3 linked regions of the Lepisosteus oculatus genome follow. The protein of the gene in region 3 interacts with the protein of the main gene of each other region in a pairwise test. Links are inferred from orthologs where the notes say so. Each region holds a gene or a part of one and is shown on either strand. Other genes may lie near its edges.

What was found. The genes of interacting proteins can lie anywhere in the genome.
Region 1: the proteins of trim54 (region 3) and myo5b interact in binary tests that used the Homo sapiens proteins (3 or more experiments, as listed by UniProt). The two-hybrid records come from large-scale screens. The link is inferred for Lepisosteus oculatus from reciprocal best matches to the Homo sapiens genes TRIM54 and MYO5B.
Region 2: the proteins of trim54 (region 3) and spg21 interact in binary tests that used the Homo sapiens proteins (3 or more experiments, as listed by UniProt). The two-hybrid records come from large-scale screens. The link is inferred for Lepisosteus oculatus from reciprocal best matches to the Homo sapiens genes TRIM54 and SPG21.

The regions. Positions count from the first base shown.
Region 1 is NC_090698.1:15,109,254-15,116,215, reverse strand, and holds the start of myo5b (unconventional myosin-Vb), read right to left. Parts: upstream 3,068-6,962; 5' UTR 2,857-3,067; coding exon 2,830-2,856; intron 1,849-2,829; exon of another isoform or gene 1,062-1,848; coding exon of another isoform or gene 1,035-1,061; intron 1-1,034. UniProt on the Homo sapiens protein: May be involved in vesicular trafficking via its association with the CART complex. The CART complex is necessary for efficient transferrin receptor recycling but not for EGFR degradation.
Region 2 is NC_090700.1:49,310,108-49,317,356, forward strand, and holds the start of spg21 (maspardin), read right to left. Parts: upstream 3,068-7,249; 5' UTR 3,053-3,067; coding exon 2,869-3,052; intron 1,440-2,868; coding exon 1,342-1,439; intron 683-1,341; coding exon 521-682; intron 1-520. Other genes in the region: clpxa (caseinolytic mitochondrial matrix peptidase chaperone subunit Xa), read left to right, coding at 4,874-4,928, 6,064-6,224, 6,409-6,529, 7,087-7,241. UniProt on the Homo sapiens protein: May play a role as a negative regulatory factor in CD4-dependent T-cell activation.
Region 3 is NC_090697.1:57,978,735-57,986,756, reverse strand, and holds the start of trim54 (tripartite motif-containing protein 54), read left to right. Parts: upstream 1-5,013; 5' UTR 5,014-5,254; coding exon 5,255-5,422; intron 5,423-8,022. Other genes in the region: dnajc5ga (dnaJ (Hsp40) homolog, subfamily C, member 5 gamma a), read left to right, coding at 650-753. UniProt on the Homo sapiens protein: May bind and stabilize microtubules during myotubes formation.

The DNA.
Region 1 (6,962 bases), on a different chromosome or scaffold from region 3:
TGCAACACCTAGGCTTATGTCTTTTTACATATTGCAATCATAGAGACAATGGACTATTAGGCTTTCACTGACATTGCTTTAGAGTTGCACTCTGGAAACCGATGCAAAGCGTACACAACCAAACAGAGCACCAGAACAGAAACATGTCACTTAGCTTGAAGATAAATGTCCGAGGATGAAAAAGCAGAGCACAAAATTGTTGTTATTGTTGTTGTAGCACGTAAGCGCTAGAATATAAGGAAGTTGCACACACTCCCTAATGTGACAGCGAAACCACAACGAAACCAACTCGGAGAACTGCACCTGCTCTCCTGCAGTAACCTGGCTACAATAATGTCGAAGAACGGAAGAGCAAAGTTCCGCTCTTTTTCCAACTTCACCACACGCCAGGACCTATTTCACAAAAGCGCGACGTTACATAATGACACCATTGATCACCGTGGTCTCAAAACTGTAGCCTCCCTCGCGATACTCCTCGCTGAAATAAAACCCACAGAAATGTAAGTCCTCTTCTTCGCCAGGGAGATCGATGACCGACTCGCATCTTAAAACTTTCTTGCTTTTACATTTAATGAAAACCAAGTACGATGTGTATTCCCCGTTTTAAATATTTCTCACTATTTCCCCTGAAAATAGTCATTTTGAAACCACCCATCTGAAATATTGAATAATATCATCACAGCAAGTTACAGAATGTCGTTAAAAACAATAATAAAAATCAGAGAGGACACGGTTAATAATGTAATCGATTGCCAGCCAAGCACCCGGCGCTTATCTGAAACATCTATTTTCTTCCATTTGTACTTTATTCTTTTCATCGCAACACTGAGCCACGCAAGTAGAAGGATAAAAAAGGAGAGATCTCGGCCATGCGGTCTCTAAAATAGTCATATGTAATATTAGTCTGTGCCGAAGGCGCAGAGAAAATATCAGCCCGTTCTGTGCGCATTTTCACAGATCTCCCCGAACTTAAACCCCGAATCTCTCCTTCCTGAAGCCTGACGAAAACTTGTTCCACCAATATGCGTACTCACCTTTGTATAGAGTTCGTTGACTGACATTTTTTCCGCGGAGATGGGTTACCTTCTGATCACCAAAAGAAACAGGACCATGTAGCCTGGTCACAATTCCTCAGCTGTTATTATGGAAAAAAAACGCATATATTCCCATTTAAAGTATTGCCCCGGTTAGAGAGATGACTGTCCGGCGGTCGCCATTTTCGCGTAGGCACAGGTTTATAACTCCAGAACGAAAGATTGTTTTTCTTTTTCTAGTTATTATCTTTTGTGTGTGTGTGTGCTGATGAATCCCTTTTCTTTAAAACAGGCTAGGCTTCTTGGTTTTTTTTTTAATTCTTCGTCTTCTGAAAACACAAGTGTTAAACACTCCTCCACTCTTTGCTCCTCCCCGCACGCCGCTCCCAGCGCAGGTATGGACGCAAGCTGAAGGTGAGCTAAGTGTTAAATGACCAGTTTAAAAAAAAAAGCGACCGAGAGAGGGAGGCAAACGAAAAAGTAAAAAAAAAAAGGAGGGAGAAAAAAGTAGCCACGCAATTGCTCTCCTTACTTCTCCCTCGTGTCCATGGACTCGGTCATGTTTGCGTGCCGTTTAGCTGTAATCTCATTGCAGCTCGCTCCTGTCGAAACCCTTCCCGGACTACAGACACCTGCTGGCTCTCCCAGCTCAGCGCATTTCCGCATTGTCCCAGCGCGAGCACGGAGCAGCCGCCGCGAGCGACTTACCCATTCGGCACCACTGCGCCGCGAGCCGCGTTACGGCATTCCCACCTGTTACTCGGTCTGCCCGTGAAGCGCCGTAGCGCGTAGAAGCAGCTGAGGTGTTGTCGCTCGGATCTGAGATCTGCTGAACACGTTACCCATATGACGTTTCTAATTGGAGATTCACAAAGGTACATGTTTTGGATCTGGGGATTTTTGTTCATTATTTCGTGCGACACCAAGCTGCGTGTACAGGATACATCACAAAGTTAATACCCATCCTCTTTCAATAAGCACTTTATCCTAAGAGGGTCGCGGCAAGCCTGAGCTGAGCTGAACTGCCTGAGTAGGCAAAGGGCGCACTGTAGGTGGCACTACACCTGGAGTAGGCATCTTCGCAGGACACATACAAGGACAGGGGGACATTAGGACTGGGCAGCGTGTCTGTGGACTGTGGAAGGACCAGCACAGGCCGCGGCGTCACTGCGAAACTGATGATGATGTAGTCTCGCATAACTTTTTACCGCCTGAGTGCAAGTTATGTTTAGGTATTATCTCAACAGACCATAGTAAGTACAGTATATCCTGCACTACATTTAAAATTTAGTCTCAAAGAGATATAATTACAATATATATCTTAATTGAATTATTGAAAATAATTATTGAATTCATTGGAAAGCATATTTTTTGCTACATGGAGAAAAATAATCAAAAGTATTACTCCTTGTTCTTCAACATCTTGGTGAAAGGTGGCAAAGGTGAGAAAATGGGAAACGTTGCAGGACAACTTTAAAACAGCTGGTCCGTTTGAGGAAAATTTGCTGCTGGTCAAAAACACTAAGGTTTCTCACCCTTACTCGTGGATCTCTGTAGAAAGACATGGCATTGTGCCACAGCCAGACTGTATCACAGAGTAGTCAAATGTATCCTGTGTTCACAGCTTTCACCTAAACAATAGATTTCTTTACGAATTAACCCGCCATGATAAATCACTGGCCGTCACTGTCTGTGACAGCAACCACACATTTGTAAATACAAATACTGATTTCTAAATCCCATGTAAATTGAGATATTGCTGTAAACACAAGAGAGAGAAGTCAGAGGGAGTTACCTTTGCGTACAGCTCATACTCCATCATCGTTTCTGTCCACTGCGGTCTTCTCTGGCCACAGTGTCCACGGAACAACCCCAAAAATCAGGAGTAAATGTTAGCTGAAAAGAGTAGCAGCTGAGTGGATTTGAATTAAAGATCCATTTCTTCACAGTATTCCGTCTTATCCGATGTGGCAGTGTGAGGTTGCCTTTGTAACATCAGACTTCCACGAAGAGTACTGGAATAATTGTTGTCAATACTCTTTATTGCTCCACTCCCTAAACACTCCTTTCTCAGGTATGAGGTGTTGTCATCTGTTTTTGGAATCGGCCACAGGAAAATCATTCCCACGATGAAGTTGCTTTTTTTCCCTGCGCAATTGCAAAATGCTTATTTTTGCTGAATGCATTTGTTCCATCTTGTTGCTTTGGGAGAAAACAGTACAACAGGGGAGCTAGTTTTTGACGGTAAAAATGAAGAAGTCACCCATTTATAAGTGAAAATGTGCCATTTCTTTGCCTATATTGGTTTAAAAATTCACTCATTCCACTATTTCAAAACAAATCATTGACTTAATAAGAATACAGAATAATAATTCGGATGTATTTTGTGGTCTGTCAGATTAATCTCAGAACTCTGTCAAAAAAGCAGCAATTAAATAGCATTTCCTCTCTCGTTCAGACTTTCACGAGACCCTCTCTAAGTGTAGTGACCGCGCAGAAGAAGAATTCAAATTCTGTGTGTAACAGGAAGGCAGATTCTCTTCTGGTAACTCCCTGTCTGGAGTGGAGAATAGTGTCTGACTGCCAGGAGATTTCCAGGTTCAAATCCAGCCTGTGCCCCCAGAGGCTCGGAATGGGCAGTACTGATGGGCCAAGATGGACAGAAATAGACACCATGGGGTCTAGTGGGAGACCCCTGCTGTACTGGACATCAGCAGCCCAGCTGCTCATCAATGTGCCCAAAGATAAGCAATAATGGTTGTGTCAGTCCTCTGTTCAAAGTGTGTTAGTTTGGCAAGCTCATTAACTTCCCATAAGAAACTAGACAGTGAAACTAGACTAGAATGTACCAGACTGTAATCCTTTCATAGCTTTACGAACGGTCCTTTCCAGCATAATAAATGTAGTTTCTATGGGATTTTTTTATGATGAGCCTGAAGGACCAGTGTTGCCATGTCTAACCCAGCTGCCTCAGTCCTGCCCAGCTCTGGTCATGACTGGGCATCTGGGCACCACTGGTTGCAGAATTTTGCTGGCAAGAGGGTAAAGACAGAACATGACAGTCATCTGGCTGAGGTTGTCCACACCACCAGGCTCAACCTGCTGTCTAAACAAACTCCTGTAGCGATTGCGCCAGAATCTGACTCAGTCTTTTTTATTATGATTCAGTATCGACAAGGTGGCACAGTGGTGCAGTGGTTAGCATTGTTTCCTCACAGGGCTGGGGCCCTGCTTTAGTTCCAGACCTGGGGTGCTCTCCCTGTGTTCTTTCTATGTAGGTTTCCTATGGGTGCTCCTGTTTCCTCCCACAGCCCAAAGACACACAAGGAGGTTAATTGGTTTCTAGGAGTGTGTGTGCGACTGTGTTTGTGTCTGTGTGTGTGTGTCATATCATGGTCCACAAAGATATGGTATTTTACTTGGTGTGCAAATTTGAAAGTTCAGTTCACACTTGCTGCACTTGTATCAACAAGTACAGTGGTCACTTATTCACAAACCTGAGAGGACTGCCCAGACCAAAATCTCTCTGACATGGTAAATGGAACAAAGGGATGTACTGAATTTCTTGTGGGACTCCAGAAGGTGCACAGATCTCCACTGCTTTCCTAGAGAGCAGAGTGAGAGCGGAGTGAGGTATTTTCATTTAATCAACAGAGCAAGACCCACTGAGACACCATTAAAACAGCCGCCATCCTGTAGACAACCACTAGTAATCCAGATGAGATATCTATCTTTGCAACTTGGATTCTATTTTTAAAAGACAGTTGGGTTCAGCAATGACGTTGCAAAACACTTATACACGTCCACTGAACCAAAGGTTTCTGTATACAAGTTTTACAGAGCAATAGTAAAACCTCATTTAAGAGATAGTAATCTGCTCCATATCATGAAAAAAACTATCTAGATTTAGAAAGAGTTCAAAGAACAGCAACAAGTATCATTACTGCTCTAAAAGGATTTTCATATATGGTCAGGTTCAAGGAACTAAAGCTCTTAAACCTGGAAGAAGGGAAATTGAGAGCAGATTTGATTCAAGTCAACACCTAAGGGTCAACCTAGGGAACAAAGACACTGGCTCACAGCTGGAAACCACAAGGGAATCCATTTGTGTCAGAGAAACAGAACAATAAATAGCTGGATGAATCTTTAAAATTCATTCATTTTTTAACTAAATGAAAGTGAATTCATTTCTTTACTAAACTTATACCATATCTTGAATACAATGGGATCATTGCTACTGGATCTCTTGACAGGTACTCCTTTTCCTGTACATTCCATGAGCCCAATGGCATCACAATCGCTAACTTTCCCTTTAGGTCTACTCTGTCAAGTGAACTGAACTTATAGGCATCCTCTCACCTGCACCCTCCCGTGCGTTTTTCTGTGCTTAAGTTTCTCCCTGTCCTCCAGCTCCTTGTGAGGCAAGAAGCATTATTTTGATTTAGGTCTGGCAGAGGAGGAAAACTGACACATGAGAAAATCTCTCCCTCAGATATGGGGTGTCTGATGCACGTGCAGTAAGCAGGCTTGTCTCCCAAGGCCATCTGTAACTAAACACCGTCTACTCACTTTACAAAGTGTTAGTGACCGTGCAACACAAGCTCCTCCAGTGAACTAACACTGCTGGTAAGGAAACAGACTCAAATTGCTTATTAGGATACCGCTGACCACAGAACATTGATTCAGCCTCTGCCAAGCAGGAATATTGCTGACAATTAGCAGCAGGTAATTTTGCTTCAGACCTGCAAATAATTCAATTATCTACCATCTCACTCTCTCCGCAATGAAAATTAAAGAGCTGTTCATTTTGGTCATTATTTTGGTGGGGCATTGTGTTGCCATGGGTTTAAGGAGAAACAGAGAGAATGCTAACACATTGCTGGTGGATAGAGATGCCACCTTCAGAGAGTACAGTCACATACCTGTCATTAAAATAAAGACTCCAAAGGCTCCTGACTTTAAATCAAGAATGAGTGTGTGAAAGCAAAGCCCCAGGAATTAAGGTTGTTTTGATCCAAAGCCTTGGAAATTTGTAACACAGACTGCTGATCATTAAAAGCTTCAAGAAGGTTGCAACATTCATGTTTAATGATAGGCTGGAAGCAGAAACCTTGAAATATGTAATTGGAAATTCCAAGAGAAATGCTGAGATTACCATGGTTGCAAAAGTAACCTTACCTTCCTTAACTTCAGGGAGTCTGAAACAGACCGTGACTTCAGCTTCTTCACACTGGAAATTAATGCATATTAGACTCCATCCTCCTCCCAGCTGCACTGTCAATTTTGGATATAGTAGTGAAAACTTTTGATGCCACTACTCTGCAGCCTCATGAACTGAGGTAGATCTCTGTTGTTTGTGAGGAGGTGCTGTCCTTCAGGGGAAATATATTTACGCTGATGTCCTGACTACAGACCCCTCTGCACTGTAGTATAGGTTGCCCGATGACTGTCCCATTGTCCCATGCAGGTTTAGACATTAGACTACCCACATTCTTCACTGTAATGCCAGTGAAACAGCACAAAGAATGCATCAGGGAAAGAATTTGTAATTTGGTTTGTTTCGTGCTATTCACTGTTAACCAATAACACACTGGTATGTCTTTACTGGGTATTGGGTTATAGAATAAATGCGCTGAAATCTGGTAACATCTTTATTGCTGCATTTGATAATCTTCATTTCTTTTTATCTCTTTTTATTACATTTCCACTGGAGAATTAACACTTTCCATGTAACCAGTTATGACACAAATATGCTCACTTGAGAGCGCACCCCCACTGAGTTCTTGATGCACACCTGACACTGCAGGTGCAACATCATTAAATGAGAATCTCCCACGATCATCAGAAAATTAGAAGATTAAATTAATAACTTCAGGACTTTAAGAATGTTGCAAAAGTATTTCAGAAAAATGTGTTTCCTTCTTATTC
Region 2 (7,249 bases), on a different chromosome or scaffold from region 3:
GCCGGCCGCGGGATTTGAACCGGCAACCTTCCAGTCACAGGCGCAGATCCTTAGCCACAGAGCCACCGCTCCGCCCTTCCTGATATATCTTACTGTATATAAGAGCTGGGAAACCCTTGCAGTTTGTCTGTCCTGCAGGGCAGACCCAACGCGTGTTGATGTCATTATTGAGCTCAATAAAACAACTGAATCCACAAAGACTGTGTCCTGCTCCTTGGATGAAGGATTTCCCACAACAGTTCTCAACATATTTACATGCAACATTCTTTACATTTATTTGCAATACTCTGTACATTTTAACACTGTGAATTGACAAATACCAATTGTTTTTACAGTTGCACTATTGATGTACTGAATATAGAACTCATACTGTACATGAACACCTGAGCTTTCTTTGCTAAATCAACTTTTAGCTCATATTCAACAAGGGCATGGATAGGTCTGTGAACTGTAACGCACCACGCCACCAGAATCTCACAGCTGCACAGATGCAGAGGAAAGCAGCCGACGGCATACTCACAGAGATCACCCGGTAACCCCATCCCGTCAGAGCCAGAACCTGCTGGAAAAACACATCCGCCGTGCCACTCACAGGTGGAAGGAATATGATGGGACACCTTATGTTTTTTGGCCCTGCATCGTACAGGGACCAAACCTTACTGTCGTCATCATCCACGATAATCTGTGGGAAACATTACACAGACTCCAAAGGTACTGTTTAACACATGAAAGGTGAACAAAGACCATGTCCCTCCCCCACCGTCCAAACTGACTCACACCAGGGTGAGATGAGTCTGAGGGCTCTTCCAATTGTAATGAAAATCTAGGAGCACAGCCTAACCGTCTGCCATGTGTACTTTGTCACCTAGTTTCTGAATGGCAGCACTCATCTCGAGTGGTTTTTGAGAACTATTTTTTTTACACGTTATAAAAAAGTGTGCTTAGGTCACATGAGAATCACACGTTGCCAACATGTTGCAAAAAGGAGATTGCAGCCTAAGATAACTGCTGAAACAAATCAGCCTCTCATGAGCAATTCTTCAACTCCTGGTAAAGAGCTGCACAGAACAAGAAAACTGAAAAATGACTATAATAAATATTAAAAGTAGTTAATAAGTTATTCTTTAACAAGTAACCTAGCACCTGTGATGCAGATTGCTTGTTCTGTGGTACAGTTTAGCTTCTGAATTCCATGTTGTGAATAACAGCTGACAAACCACAAGCTCACCGAGGGAAGTTACAAGAAAGTATTTTTGGCTCTTAGAGTTTTACTTTCTTTGCTGAGTTTTTCATTTACAAGAACCAAACCTGAAAAGACAGGATGAGAGAGAAGAAACCTACCCTTTTAAGTGGAACTGTGCTTCTGAACCAGTTGTAGTCAGGAGACACTCTTATCTCCTCCATGGCTTGGAAGGAGGAAGGACGTTGCTCAATATTGCCTTAATAACAACACAAAAAACACATATCCACAAATAAACCGACTCTGGTGATGAATGTACCAAGGGAAAAAAATCTATACATTCTATGGCTGACCTGCAAAGATGTCAAGAACTGAAAGTCAGGAATAAAAAAAGGCTCTTTTGGCTTGGCATCACTAAGCTATTGACAGTTCAGATTTCACCATGTGAGGATAGACTGACAGCGTATCTGTCACTCTCACCACATGATTTGTGTGGAAAAAGGCCATCGTGACCAAAGCTTTCTCTATTTCACTTTGTCATTATAATACGGCTTGAGATATTAAATTGATTACACTGCCCCTGCTTTTAAAGCTTTAAGCACAGTGTCTGACAGATCTTTATCATGATGAAATAATATTCTGTAACGGGGGACATGAATGGTTTAGCAAGTGACCTTTTGCAGTTATTCTCTTGAAGAATTCACATCAGGTAACCCTCACCGGTCACCCAGCATATTCAACCCCAGCCTGTGTCACTATTAGAGTTGATGACAAATCACTGGAATAATTGCAATCCTTTAATTCTGATATTTTGTTACAACTGGTCTGGGGAAAAAAACATCTCGCTTTATAAAATGTTTATCTAACCATAGCCCTAACAACAACTGTAAGAACACAACTTTACATTTAGCGCGTGTGCCAGTCAAACATAGCTTTCGGGAAACAATAAAACAGGTGGTTAATAGTAATAGTTCTGGAGAATATACTTTAGATTACTATAATGTAGCCGCTGTGAACGTCTTTTTTTTACTCGGTACTTTTTCGAGCAGCTGTTTTCCTTTTTCTATGTTGATAGCAAAATTTAAAATTGAATCGTTCTGAATTTAAACGACTTTCTCATAACATATACGGGGGGGAAATAGGTGTTCACATGTGCTTAAAAGTATCTGAGAGAGGTTTTGGCAACACTCGGCAATGAATTTCAGTGATTGGGCTTGATTATGAGCTGAATGCAAGAAATCCACTTCAGTGATTCAGTTTTAAAAACATGTTTGGGTAAAAGCGCTTCCCGAGATATGGTTCATTGAGTCGTAGAACAGGACATATTACACAAACATCTAAAAACCACGCAGCTTTCACGAGCTCAAAGGAGCTTTATTCCAGTCATGTTTTTGCAGACACATACACGAATCAGATGCGCACCGTTTTGGCGTACCAGTGTGCCCTGAATAGCATTAAAAGTTACTTTCTCTTCTTAAAAGAAAAACTGCGAAAGTGGTCCAAAAACTGTGAACTTCGTACGGATAGGGTAAAACTGAGTTCTACCGTCAGCAACAATAACAGAGATCCTAACTTTCAACGTATTAATAAAAGAACACACACACCAAACGTAGGGGCGGACGTCTTTGAAAAAAGGTTAACCATCGTATCTTTCGAAAGAAAAAAACATAAAGCACAAAGAAAATTACCGTGTTTGTTTTTGGTACCATCCAGCCCCTCTCTGTCGTACACTTTCAAATCCCTGGATTCGCAGAGAGCTACTCCTCTCTTCCCAAAGTCACATGACACACACACACACTGCAGGGCACTTCCGCGATCTGCGCACTGATTCTGCGCGGACCAGAAAGGCTTCACGTTGACCCTGACGCTCATTAAAGATATAGCGACATTTTTCACTCTTGGATAAACAGGCGGTGATGTGCAGCCCTGGTCCTGGACGAACACCGCGTCCTCCTGTTTGTTCTCCAGGCGAGGTCTTCATCGCAGGCTTGTTTGTGGATTTGAGTTTACTATTTGGGGGCAGAACGGTACATTTATTTTCAGGTCTTGAAAGGTGGAATGGGATTTGTAATAGGGATATCTCACTCTGTACCAGTTTCTGAGTTTCAGAACTTTCCTCAAACAGATATGTTGGCTGTTCCAGCCGTTTCTTGAAAGACGCCAGGGTATTGCCTTCAACAGTATGGCTGGGTAGTCCAGATTCCCAAAACCCTGTGGGTAAAAAGGTGCCTCCTTTATTCGGTATTAAATGCACCCCCATATAGTTTCCACTTAGCTGCGCACTTGGAAGTAAGTTGCATGTTCTTTTGAAACTCTGGACTGACCAAAGAAACAAGTTACTGTAAATAATCTGTTTAAAATTAAGTTTAAAATGCAAACAGAATGAAAACCAGCAGGTACAGTGTTCCCCCAGGACCAGAAATAGAAACCACTGATTTACAGCAAACTGTAGTCTGGGTACTACTACTGTGCAGCATATATATATATATTAAAGTAGATGAAAATATCCTAATTGCTGTCTCGCTTCACTCAGTTCAATTCTGGACCGTGGGTGCTGTTTACTTGGAGTCTGTGTGTTTTCCACCTGTTCACATGGGTTTCTTCCTGGTGCTCTGGTTTTTGGCTTCTGGCTCCGGTTAAATGGCTTTTTTGGAAACGTGTCCCTGCTGTCTGTGTGTGTCCTGCAGTGGACTGGCTTCCAGAGGGTACTCCACTTTGGGGCCGTTACTTGCCGTGATCCTCCGGATTCCCCGTGAATTGGAAATAGTGTACGTGCATTCATGTTTAAAATGTGCTAAACATGAGGAGTTTTTAGAAAAAGAGGTTTGAAAACACTTCAGTTTACATTACCAAACACTGTTTCGAAAGCACAGCATTTCACTTGACAGTTCTGCTAACATGAATTCACGTCGCCGAAACGGAAACACAAACGTGCTATGACTCTTGCAGTTTGTCTTTAGTTTAAAAAAAACTCTAATGGTACACACACACACCCCCCCCCCCCCCACTGCACGAAACAACCATCAGCATCTTCGCACTACAGTACTAAAGTTGCACTTTTTTAACTATTTTCTCCACCCCTTTGTGACATGTGATGTAGCCCAAACAGCTACGTAACACTGGCAGGTTCGTGCAGTTAGCTCCATACCTAGCTGACCTAGATTGAAGCGGTAGGGGGGTTACATCACACTGAGTGCAATACAGTGTCACTTTATAGCACGGAAAAAATATTTTTTTCCCCGTGAAATACGTTTGCGAAGTGTACTCCGCTAGACAAACAAACAGCCTCGTCCGAGCCGGAACCTCCTTTTAAAACGCCGTGACTCGACGGATTTCTTTCCTCGGTGTGGAGCTGTAGCTTCGGGATAGTTTGTTGTCGTTGAGGCCACCTGAGAAACGGCTTTTTGACCATATTGTTGTTTCTGTTTCACACCGACTGCTCATCGTTTGCATTGTGTACATTTGCAGTCACGGGAAACGGTGCTGTCTTAACGTTTTAGACGCGGTTTTATATGTTCTTGCTATTCGTTGGTTTGTGTTTCGGTGTTGACGGGCTGTGGCCTACCAACAATTTGTCAACATCGGCACTCCTGGAACAGAACGTGCTGTTACAAGGCTGTAGTGCGGAGTTAATATACTTCTTATTTTCTGACTGGACTTTTTTCTTAAAGTAAAGGACACCAGTGAGCAGCTATGTCCTGCACGTGTTCTGCAGCCGCGAGACTGCTAATGAATTCCGCTCATAAAGGTAACTCTTCTGAAACGTTTTTTCCTCCTATTTGGTTTACATATGGCTTTTTTGGAAATGGTATTATATTATAATCCGTGTATTTGAGTAGATTGCTTTCCTGCCTTTACACACTTTGCTGCATTATAATATCTGGGAAATGCGAAATGCGTGTTAGTTATTGAGTTTTAACAATTTACATCTACAGTATTTCATGTAGAGCTTTTTGTAATACGATGTTTCTCGTTTGTACTTTCTTTCCCGACCTATTGTCAGTACCATTTTGATGTTCTTCTGCGTCGTTGTTGATAAGCATGAGAATTTACCTGCCAGAATACTGTTGCTTGATTTTTATTTTTGCTATTGGAAGAAAGCACTTGGCAACACCTTAAAACCATTGATAAAAAAAACAATGAATACACCAATTTAGTCTTTGGGCGTCTGTTAAAAATTATTGTAACTATTAAGAATATGTCTAAGCCTTACTCCTGTGAGCCGTGAGTTTGGTGTACTCGGTCAAAGCAACTCAGAAATTTGAGCGCTTCTGTGCTAATGTGCATTATCAGGCGATTCGCGTGTTTAAAATGTGATAGAGCACTACAATATCTGCATTCCTCTTTTATAAAATTGAATATGAAATTAGTTAACGTTAACCTTTAACTACACCTTTTCAAAAAAAATTCTAGTATTCTGTATTTTTTCACAGAAATGGCGACTTTCTTGACGAACCTGTGCATGAAGCTTTTTAATTATCCCCTCGGGGAAATGTTTCTGTTACAGTCTAGCACAACAGTTGCAATAAAAAAACAATCAACAAAGAACTATAAAGGCTTTCTTTGTTTTTATTTAAAATAGGTCAAGAAACAGTTCTCTTGTCATGGTGATATAGCATTGTAACTGATATTTTACCCATTCTTTCATTATGTGTTCCTGGTTCATTGTTGCTTGTGCTGTAATCATTTTTTTTTTCCTGGAAGAAAAGTGCTAGGTGTGACGTCTTCTTAAGTGGAAGTCATGTGAATTTTCTAGCCTCGAGATCAACGTAGGCTTACCTGGTGGTGTGTTGGTTCAGGAATATCCTCTGACTTAAATAATAAAAACCCAGTGCATTCCTCCAACAGGATCTCACTCCGTTTGCTAATCTCTTGTGTTACAGGAATCTCCTGCTCTCGGATGCACTTATATACATTGACCAGACCAGGGGCACAAGAAGTTCACTTGGCAAGGAGACTGCCTGTCCGGTCGTTTTCAGAGACAGCTGTGTATTTTGCATCAAAGGATAGCTCAGCTAAAGATGGTCCTGGAGATGGGGGAAAGGTAATCCTAGTTCATTTGTTCTCGTTCTGATCACAGAAGTGAACGTCAAGCTTTTTAACAAAAAAATCCCTTCGTCCATGTGGTCAAATGCTGTATTGGGTGTGTAATGTTAAATTTTTTTAGTACATCTGAAAAACACATCTTCATTTCTGATCGTTTTCTCTTAATGTTTGTTAAAAACCAGAAATCCGTTGGCGAAGGCAGTGGGAAAAGGTCCACAGGATCTGGAAATTCAGGAAAAGGAGGAAATCATCTGCACTGTCCTAAGTGTGGGGACCCATGCACTCATGTGGAAACCTTTGTCTGTAAGTGTTATTTTAGGAGTATTAGATCTGTGTAAAAAACAAAGACAAGCAGACGACACTTCTTCAGAACATTAATACTGACTGAATAAGTCAAGTTTGCCCTTCCTCAGAATTATATCTGCAATGACTTCATCACTTTGTGGTATGTTCTCATTGACTCTGAGAAGCTGGGCCTGGTTATGCCTGTATTCAGTAACTAGGTGACTGGTGAAGGCTTTTTTTAAATTTTAATATTTATCTATCTAGTGATGCAATGATACTGTTTTCATGCATTGTCGCTGGAATCCAGTAGTTTGTGGCTGAAGGAAGGAAATCTGAAACAAAAATTGACTGTAGGTTTCAGAATGAGCGTACTGAGATTTACAGTTGGTAGTGGAAGCATCACTACAGTACAGAGTGATTTCATATGAAGCTGCGTTTCCAAAAAATGAAGCTGTGTTTTCCAAAGAATGTGGTGTGCAGGTAGGCCAAAGCTTTAATTCAATCCAGCCTGAAGATGGGGGTCAAATCCATCCTGCTGTAAACTTTTTGTTTGTTGATTTTTTTTTGTGTTCTAGCCTCAACCCGCTTCGTGAAATGTGAAAAATGCCACCACTTTTTTGTGGTGCTGTCAGAGACCGACTCGAAGAAGAGTTTAAACAAAGAGCCAGAATCGGCTGCGGAAGCTGTGAAGTTGGCTTTTCAGCAGAAACCCCCTCCCCCCCCAAAAAAGGTGAGGGG
Region 3 (8,022 bases):
CCACCTTCTTTTAAAAGGTTTCCATTGTAAACCTCTTTTGCTTGAGGAAAGATAAAGGCAGTGTTCATCTTTAACCGTACCTTGGTTTGTAGGAGCACTGGACTTTAGTTTTGAAATGGGGTTTTCAAAATAGTGTCATGAAATATACTCTTCTCATTTTATTCCGTGCTTCCCTGGAAAGGACTCAAGTGAACACATGGGTGAGCTGTTTCAGGGGAGGTAGGTTTGCTCCTCAGTGCTTATGTGTTCTGAAGCAAGCTTTTTCAGTAGAAAATGACAGTGAAGTACATGTTTTTGATGCAACTGATTTGATTTGCATCCTTGTTTCCTCTGCTGTTCCACTGGTTCAAAGTGAATTATTTGGGTTGAACTTGGTCAAGATGAGTCATCCCTTTTCAGCCTGTGTTAAATCAACACGATTTAGAAGGAAGGTTTGGAGTGATTTCTAGTCATAGTGATTTGTTAAATCCTTACTTCAACTGTATTCTGTAAGCTGAAAACCTCATATCAATATCAAGGATAAAAAGCAATTTTGGACAGAACTGTGGAAGACAGACATGATTGTTGCGAAAGATAGGAGTGTAGTTGAGAGCTGTCCGTCTTTGCTCAGATGGTGAAATATGCCATCTAAACTTGTCTTTCTTTTCAGATACAAGACCTCCAATTGTGATTCAGCCACATTCCACAATCTGCACTTCAGAGTCCACCCAGCTTTCCACAGGCCAAAAGCTCAGCTACGTGACCGAGAACTAACTAGCAGCACCAGCCCTTCGAAAGACTTCCTACCTTGACGTTCGCAGATGCCAATACCTATGTGATTTCCCACACGTTTATGGTTAGGAAAGTTAATGGCATGTGATATGAAGCATAATGTGGCACTCTTGACAAAGAAAAAAAAATGTGTTGGGGAACAATTATTGCCACCATCAAAGTGTAATGTTGCTCTGGTATTGGAAAGCGAATTACTACTGTACCAAAACAGCCCAGTCAAGATGTGAAAGAGTTTCAGTTTATCAGGTCAAAACTTTGTCCAAGTGCCATCCTGATACTGTTGCATGGATAGGTGGATGTGCTCGTGTCTTAAGTGCATGTACCTGATGCATGTCCTCTGTTGTACGTTTTGACCTTGTGCCATGTAACAAGAATCTTTGCCGTGTCTGTAGTTCTCTGGAGTCTCACTTAAGAGGGTTTAAGTGTTTACAAGCTCAAGGTTGTGTTGCTTTTTTTTTCCTAATAAAAAGCAGAAATCACCCAGTCAACCTTTTTTTTAAATGAAAAAAGTAGCACTTTAATTCTACTTTGACCGTTCATTACATTTTGTAGCCCAAAACCGAAAGGTATATGTAGGTGCTATGCTAAAATATAAATGCTTGACCAAAATCAAAACATAATTGTAGTTTTTGATCAAATAACCACCTTGGTTTAAGACACCGAGATCTGTGCCAGTTCCTGAGTGAAGAGAGCATTATAAAACGGCCTCCTGCTTCTGGTACAGAGATCTCGTACCTGTCAGGCCCTCCGTGTAGGATTAAAGTACTTGATTTTAATGGAAATTGGATAAAATTAAAATAGATTTTTTTTGTGAGATTTCAGAGTCCTAAAGAAATGGTTCTGGGTTCTTTTCTACCAAAATGAAAATCTACAGGGCCTTTTTTTTGGAAACCAAAAAGGCATCATAATTAATGGAAAGGATTACCAGCGATGTGCTGGAATGTGTATTTACATTGTTTCTAATTAGTTGTATTGGGTGGATAGTCAGCCTTTGTGTAGTAGCTGTGGAAAGTGTAGTTTTTGGAGTGACTGAGAGGATGGCTTTCTGGGCTCTGGTATTGGTGCTGTACAGAGGCGACAGAGTGGCCTCAGGCTCCATTAGCCTTTGACTAGCAAGAAGGAAGATTTTGGTATGTTAGATATGAGTCACGCCAAGCTCATAGTCATCTGCAGGACGGGGTTATGTGTGCTGACCACTTTATGTCCACAACCTCTTGGAGTGCTGCTACTGAAGGAACTTTGTTTCTGGATTCTGGATCAATCAAAAGAGTTTCAAGCCTTTTGTACTTTTCTTTAAAGTAATGCTGTGTAGTCAGGAAGCTTCACTCGGACAATATATGCAGCATAAAAGACTGCTATGCCAAATGTATGTTTTTTTTGCTTTCTGTGCTACTTGCTGATAATTTAACACTGGTCTACTGTTGTAACAAGAAGGCCATTTTCTTCACATAAATGGTCTAAATGTTTTTGTCTCTGTCCTTAAACTATTGTGAGTATGAGATGAGCGAGGTAGATAACTATTTTTCAGTGCTAGACATTTTTATTGCTTGAACTCTAAACACAAGACTGTGTGCAAATCCTTCTAAGTCCTCCAGCTTATTCATAGTTTGGATATTTAATAAGTATAGTTTTCCATTACTTTTTTTGTACTTTGGGGAGCTGAGCACATTCAGTAAATTTCTGGGTTTTGGTGTCATTGCAGCATTTTTAACAAACTGAATGTTTGCCAAATACTGTTGTTGGCTGTCTTTTTGTATTTTTCAGCTGTATGTTGTGTGGTGCAATGTGGTTTCTCTAATTCTGTGGTTTGCCCATCATCTGTCCCCAAAACTATTTCATGGTTTTATTTAGTGATGATCATGGATTAGGAAACCTAGATTTTAAATGTTGGTCATTTTGATTTTTTTTGTTTTAAATGTGTTTCCATCATCTAACTTATCCCAAATAAGCAATTTAGTATACATGTATCTAGTCTATAAGGCCACTTTATATTGTGCCACAGAGCACAGTTGAAAATGGCAATAATAAAGTGCCCTGATTTCGTAATTTAATTTTGAATTGACTACCCACCTTGAAACCTGTAAATAACAGCATTTATACTTTTTTCATTTATAGTAAAATGCCAATTGGTTTTGTGTCATTAGATTTTGTTATTGATTTGTGACTGATGATGCAGCACTTTAGTGAAATACAGAAGTATCAGTGTTAACAGAATGAGTGCATCAATTAAATAACTTGTAAAACCACAAAGTGCAAAATCCACTTATCTCATAATTCACAGATTTCTTCTCCTGAAATCCGTTTTAAAAATGCACCATCTTAAACTATGTTTAAAGGCAGGGACTGCTGTCAAAAATAAATATTAAAATACCAGCTGCACTAGATGTTAGTCTTGGGCCTCTTTCTCGGGAAAAGGTTCATTCTAGTTAACAAATTTTTAATATGGTCGTGTACAACTGTTTAAAAAAGTAAAATAGATAATTTCACTGGTGGCTTAGAAGGTTTTGCTTTAAGTACAGTATTTACAGTTGGGACCGAGGTTCAAGCACTAGTTAGCTTTATTCAATTTTGAAATTTAACAATGTTTCTGTTTAAATCTATGTAACGGAGGTTATGGCAATCTGTTTGCAAATAAATCATACAATTAACAGTCAGCAATCAATCAATATTTTTGTGGAAATCACGGTTTTGTACTGGCAACTAGCAATCTTAACTACCAATAATTAAGTTAGAAAATGACAGATTCATCTCCACAAGATGTCAAGGCAGATATTTTAAGAATTCTTTCCATTTTAATGTTTACTTTTTAGTTTATATATAAAGTTTAATTTTAATGAATGTATTATGTTTATTGGCAGTTTTGGAGAGCTGACAGTAGCCAAAAAATTGGAATTGTTGTTTGAGGCTTAAGAAATAAGGAGTATCTATGGTAATGTTGGTTATGCTGGCAGAGAAGTCTGTTTGTTTTAGGTTTCTTCACAAATGTTGTGTAAAATACTTGTTTTTTTTGGTCTCGCTGATTATTGTTCCCTTATTTTTCTTTTTCTTATTGTTCCAAATGTCCTTATACAGACCTGACTTGCAAACATGTATATTTATACCACCAAATAAAGGGAGGGGAGGTGGGGTTTATATCAAGTTTGGTGTGGCTCATTTTTTCTTTCGTTACTTAGTGGGTGTCTTCAGAGTTCTGCTTTCAGGAGGCTAAGTAGTAGTACGGTAATAAGATTTTCTCTCTTTTGATTGAATTTTTCTTAATCTTCCTTTCGGAGTTGAAACTCTTGGAGTGTAGTTTTAGTAATAGTCCCTCTCCACACACAGAAAGAGACAACATCTCTATTAATAATGACTGTTAGTCATCAGTTGTACACCTCAAAGTGAGAGCTTTGAAAATTGCAATTCTGATGAAAGACTCAAATGACGTTAGGATCTGCTGGGTGTGAAGACGGAGTTGTTCCAAATCGGATTGGCTGTGTTCCATAAGATCTGGCAAATGATGAGTCATTAATTTTGGAGTCATAACGATTGTATTAATTACCATTTTAAAATGATTTGCAAGGTCAAAATTTGAAGATAAATATAACAAGTCTTGGACATGTGACCGTACGTAATCTGAAATGAAAAATGGATAAAGACATTTCTGTGACGTCTTGGAGATATTTTTTGGAATTGTCACTTGTAAATGTTTTAATTTCCAATAAGCAATGCAATGTTTTACTAGTTTTTTTTAATTAAAAGGGGGTTGGAGGGATAATATTTTCTGTTATAATCCACCTTTTGTAAACTTGTTAAATCACTCAACAGCATAAAGGCTGTCATCTTGCACTGACTTGTTTATATTTTGTTCAATTCTCAGGGCTGAGCTGAAAACCATGATAAGATTATAACCACAGCCAAAGCTTCTAAGGTCAGCTTTAAAGTAGAAATGTTTTTGACTGCTGGGAAGAAGCTGTGAAATATAGTTTTTAATTACGTACTGAAATACAATACTGCAGAGATTTGTTGCAGAGAACAAGGTGATTGAATTGTTAAAGGCCAAGGTTTCATTTGGCATCTCTGATCATGTCCTCTTGTCTTCCTCCCAGTGTTTACGGTTTAAATACTCCATGTCGTTGGTGCTGGCATTTCCAGCAGTCCCTCATGGCTCCGTGACTGAGAAACATCTGATCCAGGCCTGACAAATGGTCTGTCAGTCATTCCCCTTATCACATTTCAGAAGTTAAAAATGGAACAAGGAATGCTGTTCTCCCCCACATCTGAGTGCCATTGGCCAGAGGGGACATCCCAGTCCCTGTGTAGTGTGAGGTTTAGAGAAAAAGTAACTCTAGCCAGAACAAAGTGTTGCTAAAATAACAGAACCATTCTGTTGAAGGCATCGTTGAGGAACAGAGCAGAAGACTGAGGGCAAGAAAGAAATAGGAGGGAAGTGGTCGATAGTTACATTTAACGATTTTCAGAGAGTTGGCCGTGCACTCTTGAGGGGATGAACTTTGCGCTGGGCTACAAACCATTGCTGGGGGACTCGAACACAATGGACAGCTTGGAGAAGCAATTGATTTGCCCCATCTGCTTGGAAATGTTCACCAAACCTGTGGTGATACTGCCCTGCCAGCACAACCTGTGTAGGAAGTGTGCAAATGATGTCTTCCAGGTAAGGGTTTCTTTTTTTTTGTGTAAGTGACTTAGGATTTTCAACATAATGTAATAGTATTAAAGACAGTGGGTGCCAAAATGATGGTAAAGACAAGCTTCCCTTGACCTCTTTGAGGTCTCTTGGGCTTCAGTTGAACTTTTATTTGACAGTATCGCACAAATCATCTGTATTTTCTATCACAGAAGGAGTTGAGAGAGCTGGGTTTTGTATTTTTGGCTCAGTGGATGACGGGAGGACAAACTGTCTGTGAAGAATGTAAACATACTGTCAACACAGTCTCCCGTATGATAACTTAAGAGCCGAGGAGGCTGAAGTTCAACAAACAAAATACAGAAAAGGAAATTCGGGTTAGAGCACAATACACTGTTTGAACTAGCTTATCTGATTTTTTTGCAACCTTTTTGTCCTATTGGAGATTAAAGGTTGAACTAAGATGGTCTTTTTTCAGTTTCCTTCAGCACTCCAGAATGATAAATACTTCATTTCCATTTGCATGCCTCATGGTAGCAGTTCATGGTCGAGTCTTTCCTTTTATTTGTGTATGTTGTCTCACAAAGTTTAGATACCTGCTGGGTTCTTGGTTTCCCTCATGATATAGTTTTTGGTAAGACTACTTTCAAAGTCTAGAACAGAAAGGAACACTCAAGATGTTCTTGAACACAAATTACTGTCAGGCCTCACATCATGTTTCCGCCTTCCTTTCAGATCACTAAACTATTTTATTCTAAGGGCTGTGTAGTGCTTTTGTGGGTATTTCAGAGTGTTCATTTCCTTTCACCTATCAATTTGCTATTATAAATCAATATGTACATTATTTACATAGCATCATTTGAGAATGCACCTTTTCATAAATTGCTTTAACATGCCTAGAACATATATCTTACCTACAGTATAAGGAAATTTGTCTTTGTCTTCACAAGAGTTTATTGAATGGTGCCGCACTGGCAGTAGTAGGGCTCAACATACTTAATGTGAATCTGTGTTAGGTACAACAGCACATTTAATGCCGAGCAACAGTTTACACAGGGGGTGTTGTCACAGCTGCAAAACTGGCAAATTATTATATTATTCTATTTTATAGAGTCAGCTTACCTCTATTTTTAATAGGCGTGACAACAGTATTAGATGTAATAATTTTGTTATCAAATATATGTATTTTAAAATTTTGAGTTAAAGCAGATCAGAATAACATTATACTTCTCACTTTTGTTTACTAATTCTTCTAATTCCTGTGCAATTTCATATAGATTTACTGTATTTCATAGATTTTTTTCTAATTATTTTCTGTGAAGATTTGTGATAATAGGGTTGTGTGATAGTTATACCAATATGGATATTTACCTCGCCATTGAACATCTTTACCATCTAGCAAATAGAGGCTAATAACTAAGGTTAAATAATAGTTTGCATATGCCACCTGTTGATTGGCTCCAGTCTGTCTGCCGAATTATGCAGGGTGAAGACTTACAGGGCAGTTGGAGGGATTAGTTGGCCTACAATAACCCAGTATCACTATGGCAGAACTGTAAACTGGAATGAATTAAGTAGCTGTAGTGGGCTAGGCACAGAAAATCGATGCTGACAATCTACACCCACATATACATAACTTCTTTCCTGGGAGTGGGAGTTTAGCAGTGACCTTTGTGAAAGATGTCTAAGCAAGGTAACTCAAATAGCAAGTTAAAAGATGAACAGCTGGTCCAGGTTTTCCAACAAGACCAGCTTCGTACATCAGATGTAGGGTCTTCCATAATGCTTACTGTCACCCCCTGAGATGAAGAAACTTGACACTGTGAGTGACTTTCACATTCAAACAGACCGAAACTCCTCCTGTTTGAAAATTGAAAACCTAGTTATTTTTGAGCTCGGAAGAGACCAGAGGTATTTCAATACTAAGTGGGTATATTCTAATCAAAGGTTCAGTGCAATAATTTTTGTAATTTAGCTATTACAGGATAGCAGGTTGTCCTGTGGAGGGTTATACACAAACCAGCATTACTTCCCAATGTGCTATGTCTCAAGGATAGGTCTGTGTTTCAGGGGTCAAGTGATGGAATCTTTGGATTGTACAAGACCTTGACTCATCGACTAGTCTGTTACAAATTTGAAAAAACACAAAACAATTTGTGTTGATGTGTTAGCTTTATAGGCATTATCTTTCTTTTAGGTTTGTCTTCAACTTATTTTACCTATAAAATATAAAATTGTGCCAGGAAAGAAGAACCCATATGACCATGCTCAGATGACCATAGAGGCATTTTGTTTTATATTTAACATGTCATTTGATTTACATTATTACATTGATAAGACATGGCATAATGCTTGATTTAGAACATTAGTCACCCTAATTTATAATAGTAAGTGACAATGTGAGATCTGTTCATAATTAGCATGTCACAGACACCTTACACAAACATGTTATATACTTATATATCATATTTTCATTTTTTTTAATGAAAAAGACATCAGTACTGAAGTCTACTCAGCCCAGTGAAATGTCGTGCCTTAAACATACCCTTCATGTTGATATTTCTGGATTAAGATGCTGCACCAAAGTTTTCAAAAACGTTAAAGATAAAACCTGACAGTTGCACTCT